2 linked regions of the Lonchura striata genome follow. Each later gene encodes a partner of the first gene's protein in a complex. Links are inferred from orthologs where the notes say so. Each region holds a gene or a part of one and is shown in the gene's direction. Other genes may lie near its edges.

Evidence for each region.
Region 2: NUP205 (region 1) and NUP93 share a complex: the UniProt entries of both Homo sapiens proteins name them as parts of the nuclear pore complex. The link is inferred for Lonchura striata from reciprocal best matches to the Homo sapiens genes NUP205 and NUP93.

The regions. Positions count from the first base shown.
Region 1 is NC_134607.1:56,499,329-56,508,108, reverse strand, and holds the start of NUP205 (nuclear pore complex protein Nup205), read left to right. Parts: upstream 1-5,259; 5' UTR 5,260-5,280; coding exon 5,281-5,308; intron 5,309-8,299; coding exon 8,300-8,442; intron 8,443-8,780. UniProt on the Homo sapiens protein: Plays a role in the nuclear pore complex (NPC) assembly and/or maintenance. May anchor NUP62 and other nucleoporins, but not NUP153 and TPR, to the NPC.
Region 2 is NC_134615.1:15,612,894-15,622,140, forward strand, and holds the start of NUP93 (nuclear pore complex protein Nup93), read left to right. Parts: upstream 1-5,323; 5' UTR 5,324-5,429; intron 5,430-5,728; exon of another isoform or gene 5,729-5,851; intron 5,852-9,247. Other genes in the region: metallothionein-2, read left to right, coding at 212-242, 332-397, 932-1,026. UniProt on the Homo sapiens protein: Plays a role in the nuclear pore complex (NPC) assembly and/or maintenance. May anchor nucleoporins, but not NUP153 and TPR, to the NPC. During renal development, regulates podocyte migration and proliferation through SMAD4 signaling.

The DNA.
Region 1 (8,780 bases):
ACGAGTCAGTACCTCGAGCTTCTCCTGGGCTGGACCTCACCATAACTACTTGTTTCTGCAGACAAACTGCTCATTAAAGAGGACTCAGAGTGATGCATAAGAAAAACAAAATTATATTGTTAACAGGCAGATGCCCAGGAATGCAGCTGAGTGATGCAAATACAGCAGGAGAAGATTTTAATAGACTTGTGAAAGATGTCCACTGAAATATTTTACATAAGAACCGATTAATACAATTTCTTGTTCCAGAAATTGAATTTGTTCAGTCCATGTCCTTTAAATTCTTGCTCCTGAACATAATTCTTCCTGATTCTCAGCAAACTTACATGAAACAAAAAAATGGCCTGGAGGAGCAAAGCAAATCCTTTCCTATGCTACCTCTTTACACCGGTACTTTCTTATGCTACCTATTTACAATGGTTTTTTTTCAAATAAGTTATCTCAGAGCATCACAACAGGGAAAGTATTTCAGTAACAAAAGTGCACAAACTATATTTTGTGTACAGGATACTTCTTGTCTTCTGCCCAGAGAGGTCCAAAGAAGTGGACAGTGCTGGGAAGATAATTGACAAAATGGTAGCATAATTTGTGAAGCAATTTTACATTGCAGTAGAGATGGCATTGCAAGATACTCTTTTCCTGAGGCTTATTGGTTCCTATATCAATTTCACTCAGTTTGTAAGTATAAAGTAATTATTTATTTCAATTTAGCTTAAACTGACTACCTCTCCCATTTCTTGCATTATACCTAGTTAAAGAAACCCTCTGTTTTGTATTAATAGTGCAGAGATTTTTGTGCAATTTTACACATCTTCAGGGTTGCCCAAGCGAACTCATTATACTCTTGTAGCTTTGCACTTATTTCAACTCACCCATGCTTGGATGGGAACCCAAAAGAATGAAAGAAGTATATAAGTCAGCGGCAGAATATATAGAACATGCTTTAGAAAGTGCTCAGAGTAAACTACAGGATAAAGCCTAAACTTGCAAAATTGGCAACGTAAAAAAACATCAACCGTCCTTAAATCTGATATGTAAATCCCTGAACAGAATGAATATCCATAAGGCAGTTGATGTGCCAAGACTTCTATTTACTATATCAAATATCTTCACTTTGCTTATGCTTTGTTTTTCCAGCATTTCCTTGGTTGTAGGTTTCTGCACCTCTCGTTGACAATTACTAGCAGCTACATCGTTACATTTGTCAGATCACCTTTTGGGCTAATAACTGCCTCATTGCCCTCAGTAGCTGAATGGACAAATAACAGAAAGACTGTTCTTCTTTCCAGAATAGAGAAGAAAGAGAAACAAAACAGATAGCTTTAAGGGCCCCAAAGCAGGAGTTAGGGAAAAAATAACTCACAATACATCACAGAGCTGAGAACACTATTTTGACTTTACCTCTGAAGCCTGAACAAGGATCATACAGACCCAACTGACAAGCAGGATATCATTTATCAAGGCATTAATTTATGGTCAGATGCCAATAGTCACTAATTGTCTTCACCTGCACAGGAAGGGCAGCACTTGCTGTTGTTCGTCTCCTGCTCCCTGACCCCAAGGAAGGTGTTTGTATAACTTTGAGAACTTTTAGTTCATTGTTGCTTTTGACTAGATAAACCACTTACACGAGCTAGTGACAGCCTCACACAGTTTCTTTGATGAGCTTAGGTACCATGGTGACACTAGAAATATCTAGGATGGAAAACAGAGAAATTACAAAAATTATTTTGTTGAGAAATGCTGCAGGGAAATGTCTCAGACCTTTTTCTAAGATTTGATGCCAAGATAACTATCTCCATGTATAAAGCATGCTTTTTGCAGCAAAGACAGGATTATAGCCAGCTAAGAAGTTTCGAGGAAATTTAGCCAGCACATAAGACAATTCAGGGTTTTTTACTCCGTCAACTAACATTAAACAAAAATACGTTATTTTTCCTCTGTTCACATGATGGGGCCAGGCTGAAGATCCATTCCATCAGCATTCCAGGCCTGCTGTGAGATGCTATACCCATTTTTACAGAACAGTAAGCTGAGATGCACAGAGTTAGTATCAGTCAAAACAAGAGCTCCAGGAAGTCGTATGATCTAACCAGAAGCCAGAAATGTTTCTGGCTTTTTGGGAAAGAGGCATATTTCGCAATGCAAGGACTGGTCTATTTATGTAGATGCACTTCTACAAGGCAACTTTTCAGTTTTAGTTGCAATGCTGAAAAGCCTTTCTTCATTTTTCTCCATCATGTGATGGAAATGTGAAAGATGTGATCATAAATGACACTGAAAATTAAAGGTAGGAAATTAAGTAGGGCCTCTGAGGCATTTGAACAATACTCTTTTTTTGGCTAATAATTATTCTTCCTGGTAATAATAACACGTAAATACAGTAAATTATATCATCATCGTTATCTTCATATCTTGATGTATGATTTTACTATGAACCACTAAATAAAGTACTATCAAAATTAAGAATGTTACACCTGTAGCACATCACAAACCACCTACAAGTTACAAAGAGTAGATTCCCACTGTGTGGTTCATTTTAATTACTACTAAGAGTTATTTCCACCTATAGAAATTAGTGTAGATCTCTCACCACAGAAACAGAATTTGCTACCCTACAGGCAATTTGGAACCTCCTTTCCCTGGAATCCAGGGGAATTAATATCCATCCCAGGTATTTAGTGTCAGCCTACCTTTGATACTTCACAGATTTCTGTCTAGTAATTAAGAATTAAAGACATCGGTGCCCCTTCTTGAACCCATCTGTGTTGCAGAACTTGCTGAGAGCTATTGTTAGAGAGAGGAATGAGGTAGTCTTTCCCTATAGTGACTTGTGAAAAATAGACTACCAAACCAGCCAGTGATCCTGGGTAAACAATGGGAACCTAAATTAAAGGACAGCAAATAAAGCAAGAATAACCAAGAATTACTATTCATGGACTTCCCTACTCATTAAAGCATGGATGGATGGATGCAGTTATGCCAATAAAAATATGTGCAGAATGTATGGTATGGTGTATCTAGATGCCTCTCTTACTTCATCCATACTAGGAGCTGAACTGTCACAACTATTTTGCATTAAAATATCACATTGCTGACAGAGAAAGAATATAATAAATGCTGTGCAGCTGGAGCCAAACGTGGTATTTTTTCTTTTGCAGTTCAGCTGCCCAATGACCTACCCCTTGCCATCCACTATTTCAGGCTGTCTTCTTTTTTTTTTTTTTTTTTTTTTCTTGTTGCTATGTGACCCTAGGTCCATTGGCAAGGAGAGGAAAGAATTATTTGGAAATTTAAAATACTAAATATGCAGTGGTTAGAAAGGTTTCTTTTTCCTTCAACAGAGTTCAAAAAAAAGTGGGTGCAATCTGGCTGTATCTGAATGCCAAAAGAAATATGACAGCTCTTAATGCCTGGGAAAGGATTTTTTTTTTTTTAATCAATTATTTATTTCTCTCTCCTCTTTAAAACATCATGTTTCTTAAGGAAACACAGCCTAGGAAATCACACTGTAAGCCAAACTTTTTCAGTAACTTTTGAACCTGTTGCAATTTCTGAGTCAATTCCAACCTAATCTGATCAAAGGCTAGAAGGCTTATAAACTTAGTGAAAATCAGGGAATGCATAAAGGAAAAAGATCAAAATTAGAATCACTGTGGAAGGAAAGACTGAAGCAAAACCTCAAGCTATCCATTGCATTTGCTGTGGCCAGGTGATCAGCACATGCATCTCCAAGTTTATCTGATACCTGCATTTCATAGTCATGGGTCTTGGGTGGCACATGGGCAGCAGAGGAGCAGAACTACAGCTTCACAGGGAATGATACAGGAGAGGATACAGGTACCAAGGCTGCTTTAGTTCAGCGCTAGGGGAATAATCACTTATTTTCTACTTTGGCCTTATGCCTGGCTTTCTTCATTTCCTAGAATGAAATGAACAATTCTCTGTCATTCTCATCATTATAGGTCTAGTCTGTTCATGGCTAAGACTAGGATAAGATAAATCTCAAAGAAATATGGGACCTTTGACTAAACCAACAAATTAGGCCAAATTACTGAGAACACTTTCATCTATTGAACTCTGAAATTCCCCTCTTTTCTAAAATGTTAATTTCTCTCTCCTCTTCCAACTAAGTGAAACAATTTCTCTGTTTTCTGTCTCCTTTTTCTTACAGCTGTCTTGCCAATTCACTCTCACCCCAGGAGCACTACTCTCTCTCTATTACCCCTTCTGCCATCCCATTATAGGGGAGATCTACAGAAGCAAAGATGGTTATTTTGCCAGTTTCCCATGGGTCTAGTTAATTTGACATAGTTTTGCAACCATGAAATACTGGTTTAATAAAGTTCAAGAGGGGAAACTATTGGAACTGAAATTGAGTACTTTTGGAGATTTTTTTTTTATCCTAAAGGTAATACAGGGGGGAATTTCTGTAAGAATGGTGATTACTACTGGGACAAAGAATGGTAAATTCACTTCAGACACACTCTACTTTTAAGATACTGATATTTGTTCCTCAGCTCCAGATACATAAGTGTATAAACACACTTTTTATTTTCTTTTCTTAGTTCCTGGTACTGTTTTCTTTCTTGCAATTTTTTTTTTCTTGCACATACTTTGTAGCTTTCTTTACAGGATAACTCCTATCAGAGCTGGCAGTTTTTTGGTTTTTCCTCCCCTATACAAAATTGTAAACCCTAGTTCGCATTGAAAAGTTATTTATTGTCTGTATTTTTTAAGACTTCAATCAGAAACCAGACAAGCTGGAATCGTCCTGGTGATTTTTTTTTTTTTTTCAGTTAAAAAAATAAAATATTCTAATAAATGTATCTCCTAGTGCAGTGTCTGAATTCAGGTATTTAGCCATATTCAGTGAAAACGGCTTATAGGGCAGTGCTTGAAAGGAAAGACTCACTTGAGCGTGGCATGAAAAGGGAAAGAAGGGCACGGAATCGCTGTGCTATTTACATGAGAGGAGCGACGGCAGGAGTGCAGAATGCCGGCGCTCTCCCTCTCCCGCAGCCGCCGGGCGCGGTGATCCATTCACCTGCATTAACTACAGCTCCCATCAGCCCGGGCGCGCGGCTGCCCCGCCGCCGCCGGAGCCGCTGCTCCTGCCGGAGCCCCGCCGCGGGAGCGGCCGCGCTGTGGCCGTGCCCAGCTGCGCTGTCCCGCGGCGGCCAGCCCGGGCCGGGCCGGGCCGAGCCGAGCCGAGCCGAGCCACGCCCTGCCCGCCCGGGCCTTCCTCGGGCGCCGGCGCCTCCCCGCCCACTGCCGAAGATGGCGGCTCCGTTGGCGGTAAATTCGGGTAAGAACAATCTGAGCGCGGGGCCGCGGCTTCTCCTCCGCCTCTCCCGCGGCCGTCCCGCTTCCCGGCCGCTGCCGGTCCTGCGCCTCTCCTCCGCGCCCGCGGAACGGGGCGGCCGCCCGGGGCAGCGGGGCGCGGCCAAGCGGCGAGGCGAGGCCCGGGCGGGCAGCGGGGCAGCGCTGCGGGGCTCCCGGTGCGGTTTGCGGGGTGCGGGCAGGCGCTGGGAGAGCGGCCTCCCGTGCGGCGGTAGCCGGGCTCGGCCGCGCAGAGCTGCCCGGCGACGGAGCTCCGCGCTCAGAGCTGCCGCCGCGCCTGGCTGGTCCTGGCGGGAAGTCACGGCCGGCAGCCGAGGCCTCCTTGTTTAGAGGGGACTGTGGTAACTCGGTGTGCACGTGGTTGCGCATCACTTCGGCATTAGGCTCATCTCCTAATGCTGTGTGGTTTAACAGGGAAAAGAGGAGTATATCCAGAATTATGCCCTGCTTTCCACGTATAGTGGCATTGAGTAGTTAGAGAAAACAAAGCCCCTATCCCTCTTTAGTCTTCCTTCTGTAAGACTGAACCAGGTCACTTCTTTCAGCTTCTCATTCATCCTGTTCTCTGGCTCACTATTTCAGTGTCTAGCTCTGAGGAGCCAAATATTAGACACAGTATGTGAGTGGAGGACTCCGAGATGCCTAAATAATCACTTACTTGCATCTGCTGGCTACAGCTGTTAACACAGCTTGGAGCCTGTAGGCAGCCTGTGCTGCTGACTGGTCAGCTTCCTGTCTGCCAGGACATTTGGGTATTTGACACTTGGGTAAAGCTGCTCTCTAGAAGTTCCCTTGGTCCCCAGCCTGTGCAGTGATTCTCTGTTGGGTGCAAGATAATGCATTTACTCTTGTTGAGCTTCATTAGGTTAACAGAAGGAGAATGGAGACCCTGTGAAAAACAGTTATCACTGCAATATAGGCCAGAAGGTCTGTAAATAAGGTTTTGTATTTCAATAGTGACAGTTAATATTTATTACTGATTCTAGCTAATAGAATTAAAACATCAATTCCTGTGGCAAGCAAGGAACAAATTTTACAGAGATTTTTTAATCTCACTGAATGGATTGCATCCCTGTAGCCTTACAGAAAAGCAGTAATAAAGCAAAGACTCTTAATGAAAAACTATCGCTTTGTTGAAGTGAAAATCGGAGTAGTTCAAATGAAACTATTTTATGAATTGCACAGCAAGAGAGTCCATAGCCTTATAATTAAAAAACACTAGGGGAAGAAGGAGTTTTTTCCAGGAAATACAAGAGAAATTAAAAGGAGATATGGCACTAGAACTAGTAAGGACTTTGCCTTAGGTTAGAGTGTATTGTTTGTGGGAGCAGATATATAATGGTTGAGTCTATCCCTTGGCAAGGTGTTCAGGCACATAAGCATCAGCTGCTACTGTTGCCAAGAGAAGCAACTCACCTTATCTTTCCTTGCTGCCCCCAATGGAACAGTCTGCCTTTCTAAAACTAGTAATAATAGAGCAGCTTTAGTGGGAAAAAGTCAGCATGGTTGCTGAAGTCCTACCTCTTCCTATTCCAGGTGCCTGCTCCTTTCTCTGCAATAATCCATCTTTGTGCCATTGCAGAGCAAACTGGGTTGTAGATGTGATCCTGGTGAAAATAAACTCCTTTTTGGATTAGATTTTGGTTAACAAAGTTAGATCCTTAATTTATTCTAATTCCCTACGGTACGTGTGTTTAGGCTGGTGCAAAGCAATTACGTGGTAGGGACAAAAGTAAACAAATGGGCCAGGGAAGTAGTTGAACAGCTTTTGGTAGGCACTGTGGTTTGCTGCTGGTGTTTATTTTTATTTGGTAATGTAGTAAGAGTGAAAAGACAATTTCAAGTGGAAATAAATCTGGACTCTGAAGTTGTGTGGGACAGCCAGTTACAGCTGAGCATGAAATTATGCATCCAATAGTAGCTATTTCTAGGCTATTTCTAACTGTACAAGTTAAAACACTGAAGCTCGGTAAAGGCAAATTTATCCTTTTTTTATTGGTTGGCCTGACACAGCCATTCTGGCACTGCTAAATGTGTTCTCTCAGTCATTTGTAAATTCCCATATAGCTACTCAGCATGAATGGCTTCACCATTTAAGTATGGCAGTCTTTGATCTGACACTCTAGAAGTACTTTGAAGCTTAGGAGATTGGCATTTTGATTGTTGGGAGGGATATCAATTTTAGTTGGAGTAATCAAAGGAGTTTGTGCTCTCTCAATGGAGAATGTTTTTCTCTGATTAGTGAGGCAGGATTTCACACACCTTCCATATATGACTAGCTCAGTACACACTGGTTCATCTCTGACAATGTAGGAGCAATGAGGGTGATTTAAATAGCTTGCTTTTGCTTAAACCGCTTTTTGGTTTTCCCAACTTGCTCACTCAAGTAGTAATCTTTGGAAATGGTTGAAACAATTTTTCTTTAGCCATCTGCTGTAATGCAATAGTATTGTATATTTTGATTTGATGGATTGTTTGGCTAACAGTGAAGGTAGTCCTTTTCTGGAGTGTTCTGCAGAAGTGGTAGGGTCACAGTCCTGGAGGGATTTAAATGACATGTAGATGTGGCACTTGGGGACATGGTTTAGTGGAGGACTTGGCAGTGTCAGATTAGGGCTTAAACTCAATACCCTTACAGGCCTTTTCCAACCTAATACCTGTATTTTAAGTATTCTTGTAAGATGACTTTCAGCACCAGAATTTAGGTGTGTACATAATCTTTTTTGGTTCTTTACTTCCCTAAAAGCATTTAAGTTTTATATCAGACCATTGTTGGGTTTTTTGTTTTTGTGCCTTAGGAAAGGAAAATATGCTTTTCTTGATGGGTGTAAGAGTATACTGACGTGCCAAGAGTAACAGTAAGATAAAAAAGAGTTTACTTATTGAAAACAATATAGAAATAATTTGTTTTCTTCCTTTCTGTATTTCAAACACATTGTTTTATTTCTTCTTTTAGCTGCAAGCTTGTGGGGTCCATATAAGGACATATGGCAGACTGTTATGAATGCCATTTGGAAAAGGCAACCTGAAGCTGTTCATCGTCTCGATCAAGTTTTAAAGAAGCACAAATCTGACTTCATTTCTCTCTTCAGAAATCCGGTACTGGACTAATGCTCTCTTTTGGGATGAGCTGGAGAATTGATGATTTACTCAGTCCTTTACTGTTGTCTTACATGCCATTTTAGACCCTATCCATTCTTTTCATGTGACATTTTTACATTACATAACACAGATGTTTTATACCAGTCTTGTTCTGCTGTAAGAATACAAATAGTATTAAGTGGGAAAAAATAATACATACATATTGTATCTTCTACAGGATAATTTTATCTATGATGTTTTTTTTTCTCTCATTATTTGAGTGCTATTTTGAAAGGAATAGTAAAATTATCTGATGATCCATCAGTCATGTATTAACTTTTTTTGTTACTCTTGTG
Region 2 (9,247 bases), on another chromosome or scaffold:
AGCACGGCACGGCACGGCACGGCACGGCACCGCCCCCGGTGAGCACGGCCCGGTGCCGCGGCCCCGCCGCACCGTGCGCAGCGCCAGCACCGCCCCGTGTCCTGCCCCATAAATAGCGGGCGACCGGGGCCGCTCTGCACCGCTGTCAGCCCCGCCGGACCGAGCCGAACGGAGCCGAGCTAGATTGAACTGAGCCGAGCCGAGCCGAGCCATGGACCCCCAGGACTGCACGTGTGCCGCCGGTAAGTGTCCCATCCCGTCCCGGCTGATCCCGCCTAACTCCGGCTGCCTGACTCCTGGCTGATCCCGCTCTCCTGCCCTCGCTCTCCAGGTGACTCCTGCTCCTGCGCCGGGTCCTGCAAGTGCAAGAACTGCCGCTGCCGGAGCTGCCGCAAGAGTGAGTGGGGGGCTCAGGGCGGGGAGACCCGGCCTTGTTTTTGGAGGGAGCTGCCACTGCCCTGTGGAACATCCATGGGCACCTCTCTGCTCCATTGAGAGCCTTATGCTGTGAGACTCCCTGGGCACCTCGCTGCTCCTTAGGGAAATCCCTCCTTGCCCTGTGGGACTCCATGGACACCTTCCTGTTCCACAAGGGAGCTCTTTCTTGCCCTGTAGGACCCAATGGGGACCTCCCAACTCTTACCCTGTAGGCAACCCCTCTTGCCTGTCAGACCGTGTATGGAGACCCCATCACTCCCTCTCTTGTCCTGTAGAACCCTCATAGGATCCTTCCCTTTTCCCCGGCCCATTGCAACACACCCCCTCTGGGGGGCTGCCACCACTGTGTAGGACCCTCATGGAGAGCTCCAACCCACTGGGATCATCAGCCCTGCTCATGCAGAGGAGTTGTTTCCCACTTTCCATCGGGTCCCCCTGCCTCACAGAACCCCAGTCCCTTCCACCTACCTCCTAACTCTTGTGTCCTCCCCAGGTTGCTGCTCCTGCTGCCCCGCAAGCTGCAGCAACTGTGCCAAGGGCTGCGTGTGCAAGGAGCCGACCAGCAGCAAGTGCAGCTGCTGCCACTGAGCCGCTCACCTCTGCCTGTAAATAGTCGGCACGCTTCAGGGATGGGGGGTGGGGGGCACAAAAAAGCCTTGTTTTTGTTTTTGTTTTTCTTGTTTTGTATTTTCTGTACCAGTGGTGAAACTGGATGGAAATAAAGGAGTTTTTCTGGAGGTACGAGTGCTGCTGTGGGGATGGGTTGGAGGCTGAGCATTTTTGCCGCTTGGGACACCTGTATGGGAATTGTCGAATTGTCGCTGCAGGGTGGGAGAGGGCTGCTCAGAAACACTCCTGTGTCCTTCCCTAAGTGGGCTCTGCACCTTCCTTGAGGGAGGAAAGGAGCTTCACAGGGGTGGATCTCATCCTACATGTGGGGCTGATGTGGGCATCTTTGAGGTGCTGGTCTCCCAGGGAGGACAGGTGACACACCCAGAGGTGTGGGCAAACAGTGGAAGGAGGGTCTCTAGTCCCCTCCAGCCTTTCCTTGGCTACATGGCAGGTGCCTCTGCACTATGTTAGGGGCTTCCTTTGGGTGAAAGATTTTGTAGGAGCAAGTGTGGTGGGTGGGAGGGTGATCTGTGCTGGCAAGATGCCTGCCCTGAGCTGCTGCTGGAGAGCATTTGGACAAATTCTAGTGGGGACAAAGCTTCCCTCCTCAAAAGCTTTGCAAGCCCCAATCCATTGCAGAGCAGATCCATCCCCAAAAGGACACTTTCCCTGCAGTCTCCCCATGCCGAACACCTACAGCTACACTGCTTGGCTCCTGCTGTAGGCAAAACTTCCGAGCACTTTTTTCCAGCTCGTTCTTGGGAAGCACCTTGCTTAAAGCTGCAAAGTCTTCCAGATGCAGGAGGGCAGGTAACAATAGCTGTGAATGCAGTGCTTAGCTGCCTGGATTTCGGGTGGCTGCTGGAATGGGGGAGGGGGGGCGGTGGGAAGATGCATACTAAGTGTTTTGCTTCCGAAAGTCTCTGCCAAATGGAGCAGCCACTTTTAAGGCAGATGCCTGCCCATACATGTCTCCTGGGTGTGCCCCACCATAGATGTAAGTTCCCAGCCATGCTGCCCTCACCCATTTTGTGTCTCTTCAGGCAATAGGACAGCTCTGCCTGGCACGAAAATCTCCTGCAGCACTTGGTGACAAGGCACCACGGACAAGATAAATTTAAAACCCAGGAAAATTTGTCCCTTGGGTACCCACATAGTCCTATCTGTTAGGCTGGGTGACACAAGGTGGGGTGTCTGCACAGTGGGAGCATGGCAATACCAGTTCCCAGGGATGTTTCAGGCATCCAGGATGATCCAGGCTCACCCTTTCCCCAAAGTCTGCCCAGCTTCAGCACATGGCTCCTCAGACCACTCAGCACCCAACTTGGCCAGTGAGAAAAGCAGCACTTAGCTCAACACCCATTTGCCTTTTAAATGTGTTGCCTTATTGCATCAGTGTGTCTTTGCCTCAGCAGCCTCCCAGCACTGCTTGCTGCAACAGAGGTGTAGTGATGGAAATGGGTTTTAAGGGTCTGCCCTGCCCTAAATATTTAAAAACAATCCCATGGGAAGACGCTTTGCTGGAAAAGAAGACTGGCATGGCTCTGCTGCTGGAGCCATATGAAACAGGGCTGCGACCCCGGCCACTGTAGCGGAGGGGCTGCAGACTGAGCCCCCGGGGCAGGCGCCCGCATCCTGCACCAGAAACAAAGCCGGGCGCGGATGGGGTTTCCCCGCACAGGAAGCGCCCCAGGCATCAACCGCTCCCCGGTTCCCAGCAGCGTGCCAGGGTAGGATGTGGGCACACATTTCTGCACCCTGCCGCTGCCAGCCTGCCCTGCCTGCTCCTGGTTCTGCCTGCGCGCCCGTCTGGCAGAGACCCCCAGCCTTGGTGCCTTTTCCAGCCTCCCCAGGATGGATTTGGGGCAAGGAAAGCCACAGGACCAGTGGAATGAGCTGGTCAGGGATGTATCCAGTGCCTGCCCTTGCCTGTAGCTGCTCTCAGTGAGGTGGGTGAGGGCTTTCTGGTCCCCTCAAGAGTATTTTCTATTAAAAAAAAAAAAAAAAAAAAGTACTTGTTGATGAAGCAGGAAGTGCTCTCAGCCTCTGGACAGCTCTGTATAGTGGGAGGGTGAGGGGAGCCTTTCTTGATCCACGAAGACGCTGATGTACTTTATTGAGCCCCGCCAAAAAAAGTCCAGCTCAGTCTGCTGAGGTGGTTTGAGGTGACCACGATCCCTTCTGGGCACCCACGGGAGCCAGGGCAAGGGGGTCCTGGGTGCACTCCCAGACGAACAGCCCTGCAGCTGCCCATGGGACCGCATTCAGTTCCGCTTTTTCTAGCTGTGTGTGAATCCCAGGGGGGTGATGGGTGTCCGTGACCCTGCGTGGCGCTGAGACGCACCATGTGCAGGAGGGACACGTGCCCTGTGCAGAAGGGATGTGCGCTCTGTGCAGAGGAGCGATGCACTGTGTGCAGAGCAGATGAGCACCCTGCGCACGCATGACAGGAACCTCTGTGCCGCGGGGACATCGCCCTGTGCCGAGGGGACAAGCGCTGTGCGCAGCGGGGACATGCACCCAGCGCACAGAGCAAACACACCTGGCGCAGAGGCGACAGGCACGTGTGCACAGGGGAAATAACACCCTGCCCTCAGGGCAGAGGGAAAATGCACCCAGTGCGAGAGGAAAATACAGTCATAGAATTGTTGGAAAGGTTGGAAAACCCCTCTAAGGTCATCAAGTCCAGCTGCTACCCCAGCGCTGCCAAGCCCACCCCTAAGCCAAGTGACACATCTACATTGTTTTTTTAAATCGCTCCAGGGGTGGTGACTCCACTACTTTCCTGGGCAGCCTGTTCCAGCGCTTGACAGCACTTTCACTGATGTGTTTTGACTAATATCCTGTTTAAAACCCCTGGCACAGAGATGAGATGCTATGCTCATAGGATGGGCACCCAGGATGGAGGGTACACGCATCTGATGTAGAGGGGACAGCACCCTGCGCATCCTGGGCAAGGCAAAGGCGCCCTGTGCGCCCAGTGTAGAGGGACGGGCACCCACAGAGGGGGCAGCACCCCTTGCCCCCCGTGCAGAGGACCCGGGTCCCTCCCCAGGGACGGCTCTCCCGAGCGGCTCCGCTCCGGGCGCCACCGAGCCCTTCCGCAGGGATCTGCTGCCACCTGCCTGCCCGCAGCCCCGCCGCCGCCCCGGCTCCCTGCCGGTCCCCGCCTCCCTCGGTCCCTGCCTCTGTCTCTCCTTTCCCGGCCCCTCCGGACGGCTGTTCCCCCGTCCCGCCCCGGAGGGCACCAGCGCCGGTCTCCGGGCGGACCAGGACTCTCCTCGCTCTGGAAAGATGCCCCGGGAGCCTGGAAGGGCTCAGGGAGAGCTGAGGTGGCACAGCCACCCTACCAGGGCGCCTATCCCATCAGTACACCCATCACACCAGGACAACCATCCCACCAAGGCATCTTTACTACCAGAGCATCCATTCCACCAGGGCATCCTCTCGGGGACAAGTGCTCCCCTCAAACTGAAGTGACGAGCAGAAATGTACCCTGACCCCCTGCACGCACTTGGCAATTAGGAGGAGTAGTTACAGCCGGTGCCAGAGCTGCCTCTGGCCTGCTGGGAATTTCTTTTTACATGGGAAAATTTGGAAATAGAGACAGTGTTAATGGGGAAATCTGTTCAGCTTTGAAGGTTTGATGGGTGATGTTTCAGAACAGCAGCAAAATCCAGGCTGTCTCTTACACAAGCAGGCTGTCGCCTTGTGGGTCCATGAAATTCCCAGTTCCCAGATTTTGCCCAACAAATCCTGTGTCATTGGCAATATCTGTTTTAGGGCCATCATGTGTATGTCCAAGATGGGACCAAACACAGCGAATCCCTATACATCCTCAGGGCACCATTATACAGGTGGTGGTGTGAGTACCTGCTGGCTGCGAGTTTGTTTGCTGGTGTATTTGGCCATGGGAGGCAAAATGGGGATGAATTCGTTATCCTCATTTTACCTCCCACAGAATCAGCTCACAGAATCAGCTCACAGACAGGGTTTGCCAGCAAGAGTCAGCGCTTACTAAGAAGGAAAAGGGGGAATAGAGAAACAGTCCCAGAGGATATTTCTGTCTGTATATCTCTTATTTCACTGATTTCGGCGCGGCGCACGCAGCGCGAGGAGGCGGAAGGCAGCCTCGAACCCGCGGTGTCCGGAGGCAGCCGCCCCCCCATTCGGTCCGCGCCCCCTCCGAGCGCCTCAATCAAGTTGTTCTCGCGAGGGAGCGGGAACGGGCGCGCTGCGGAGAGCGGCGGCTGGGCCAATAGGAGCACGGGAAGCCGGGACGCCCGGCGGCTCGGCCAATGGGAACGCGGGAAAGGGCGAGCGGGCAGCCAATGGAGGCGCGCGGCGCGGGCGCGGCGGGCGGCGCGGAGCGCGGCGAGGTGAGGGCGCCGCGCGGGCGGGCCGGGGTTCGGCGTCCTCCGCTTCTCTCCCCCGCTTCTTCCCCGCCTGCGGTGCTCGCTGCCTGCTTCCCCCGCACCCGCAGCTCCCGGCTGCTGCCCCCCGCCCATGGCTTCCTCTCCGGCCCGTGCAGGCCGCTGCTGCGGCGGGAGGCTGGCTGGGAGCGCTCCAGGCCTGCTCGCGGGCCGTGCCGGGGCTCCCCGGGGTCGCTGCCGTCAGTAACCCGCGCTGAGGCAGCGGGGCCGCTGTGGATGCGCGAGGAGGGCTCTGTTCTTCCGAGCTTTTGTGCGGGTCGGCAGTGCCAAGCCCGGCTGTAGAAGGGTGGTTTGGTGTTTAACCCAAGTGCAGCGTTGGTGCTTAAGGGAGCAGAAGTTGGTTGTCTGGGAAGGTTTCCGGAGAACGGGTTTGTGTATGATGTGTGTGGTTTGGTGTCTGTTTCGAGTTCTGTGCGTGGGGCTTGTTCTCTCCCACCCAGTGGGTTTGCAGGTTGGTTCCTAGGAATTCTTAGAGGGTTTGGAAGGGACTTCAAAGCTTATATAGTTCCACCTCCCGCTACCATGGGCAGAGACACTTTCTGCTGGACCAGGCTGGTCAAGGCATTATCCAACCTGGCATGATGAACACTGGCAGAGGTGGGACAGTCCCAGGGCAACGTGTGCCAGTGCCTCACCACCCTCACAGTAAAGAATGTCTTCCTAAATTTCCCCTCTTTTAATGTTTATTAGTCCTTGTCCATCACTACAGTTCTGACAAAGAGTCCCTCTCTGGTTTTGCTGTAGGACCCCTTCAGATACTGGAAGAGTTTATGAACAGTGAGTGGAAGGGCTTGAATTAAAGTCCAGGTGCAAAGAAGGGCTGCTTCTCTTCTGCAATTTGGTCATGTTGGTCTGGGAACAGTAGTTATGGCATGGAGAGTTAAGATGATAGTGAGAAAGAAATACCAGTTCCTATATGCTTTAGTGCTATTTCAGTTATGTTGTGTCATAAAAAATTTTCCTACTCCTTGGGGAAACTGACAGAAAAAGCTTAAAATTGCTTGGAAGAAAGCATGGGATTCTGTCATCTAAATCCATAAAGTTTCTGTGGTGCAGAAATTCAGGAAATTCAATGACAGGAAGTTCATTGAGGGGAGGATATGGGTTTTCATTTAAGGAGCTCAAAATCCTGAATGCTCTGTCTAATGAGGATCAGTTTGCCACCCTGTGCAAGTTCCTGCTGAGTTGGGTGCTTAAAATAAAGGCTAAGTGTTTGGAAAAGAGGGAACGTGGTAATATAGCAAAACTGCCAGCTGAGTCAGTTATTCAGGGCAATGGGAACTTAAGACCTTTATGAGGAATTGATGGCAGATGAAAGGGTGTTGACAAATGTGTGCTAGTGTATTTTGGTAGAAATCACTTCAAATGCCTACTCTTTAGGTCCACTTTAAATAATGAACACTGTAGAGAAGCATTGTGTGCCCTTCCTTGTCCTTTCTTACAGTGCAAGTAACCCAGTGTAACTGCCTTTAAAACTTTGAAAAAAAAATTTTTGTTCAACATACCTACTGTAAGGGTTCTCTGGGACCATAAGAAGATTGGACTTTTGCATATCTACCTACAAATGAGATGAAGAAGAAAATATGCAGGACTGAAAGCCTTTTTATAGGAGTCAGAGAAGCATTAATGGATCAGTGGTAGAAGAAACAATAGTATTGTTTCAAAGGTTGTTGTGTGATCTATTCAGGATTTTCCTGCATCTGCCTTTTGTTGCAGGGGGAAGAGGCTGTTGTACCAGATGGGGTGCCAAATAAAGCTTGAAGCTTTTAGATATTTTTAAAGTGGCCTATTGTGATTTATCTGGGTTTAGTGTAGTTAGGGTATGGAAGCTTTCCCTCTGTTAGGTTTGATAATCATTATTGTGTTTTATGGACAAGAGGATGGTGTGCTGAAAATGTGCAGCAGATTTGGGTTGTACAATTGTCCACCTGCTCTTTGATTATCATCTCAGTGTTTCTTAATCACTTCCTCTGTCTGTAACATGGAGATTATGTTGCTGACTTCTCTGAAATGTCTGGATGTCTGCTTATGCCACGTGCCATGCAAGAGCTGGGTATTATTGCTGCTGCTCAGACAGAATTCCCCAGGCCTGCAGAATGGACCTTTTACTTATTCATGTTTAGCTTAATAGACAGAAGCTGCTCCATTCTCTGTAGCATCCCAGGCTTGGAGCCTGTTGAAAAAGCACTTTTCACCTCAGATATTGGCTGTAGGAAGCAGAACACTGCTGGCTTGGTCTTACTACTTGTGCTCTTGTGTTTTCTTTCCACAAGAAGCTGATCCTGACTCATCAGACTGGGTCTCTTGAGCACTTTGAGGGTGGAGCCTCTTTGAGAAGCCAACACTGGATTTTTTCCTTTTTCTTTCCCATTTTGAATAATCTTTCTGCAACTTGTGGAGCTCTTGCTTTGTCAGCACTCTGAATGTAGTGAGTGAGGTTTTCCTTCTCCTGTGACATCTTCCTTTCTTTTTCCTAGAGCACTGGGAAAACCTAATTTTTTTACTGTTTCTCAAAGTTAATTGGTTAGTTGACACAAATCCTGTCAATGTGTGAAGTACAGTGAACACTTAGACGTGCACTGGAGTATTTCAGCTTTTGTATTTCTGAATCAAGTACAGTAAAATGTTCATCGTGGCTGTATTTGGAGTAGAATAGCTAGAGTTTTCTTCCTAAGATAGCACTGTAGTGCTCTTGAGGAGTTTTTAGGTAAGAAATAATCAACTATAATCAGTCTGAATAGACTTAAGAAACCTGTCATCTGTTCTGTTTTCTTTGTGGCTTAAGCTTAGTGAGTTTGTACAATATATAGTGCTTAAGTGTGGCTTTAAATGTTCAGGAAATTAAACTGGGCTTTAATGGAATCGTGGTCTAATGCAGCAACTTCTATTGATACGTCATCAAAGTTGTTTTACAGAAGAGCTCTTTCAGTCCTGGCTTTTTGCCCAAGGTCAATCTGGTTTCACTGAAGTTAATTTAATTTCTGAAGTATTTTCTTTCTGTTAGACGTTGGTTGTTGCTCCTTCCCCAGCCAGACATGAAAATCTGCTGTTGCTGTGGAAGCAGTTTCCATCTTGCACAGCAGCATGAAGAGTCAGACTGCAGACTTGAAATGCAGTAAATTCTGTCAGGGTGGAGACAAAGTTGTTTGCACTATTACGAATATATGAATCTTCAGTCTAAATGTTTGAATTCTGTCACTTATAAAAAGCTGTTTAGTGTTGACTCTCTGAGTTTGAGATGTTGCTTCCAGTGCTTGGTTATGATCACAGGTACTTTAACTTGCTCCAAAATAACCAGTTTGTTCCGTATTTGCTGAATTGGGTTCAATCTCACAGAGTTGTTGCAGTTGTACTATGCAGGCAAACTTATGTGACAGACCTTACATGGTATTAACAGGGTGTCTGCAGGTAAAATGTGCAGGTTGAGTGCAGTTCTGTAGGACTGACTTTTCGTGCTTTTGGTTTCAGCAGTCTGAGAAGCTGGTGCTTCTTACACTCCCAGCTTTTTATCTTGCTAATGAAAAGAGCAAGTGGACCAGATCGGAGCAAATCAAGCTGATGTCTGTGTTGTTCTTACAGTCACTGCTCCTGGAGGATCTCATATTTGAATGTACAGGAGTGTGTCTGTTCTAGTCAGTGTCTGCCAGGAGGCTGTGCCTGGCAGGGGTGCATCTGAGTTATTGCAAGTAAACACTGGGAAGTTGTTCTGTACTGCATTGCAGGGCACGAAGCTGCTTATTTCCACCCTCCTCCTCCCTGTTCCA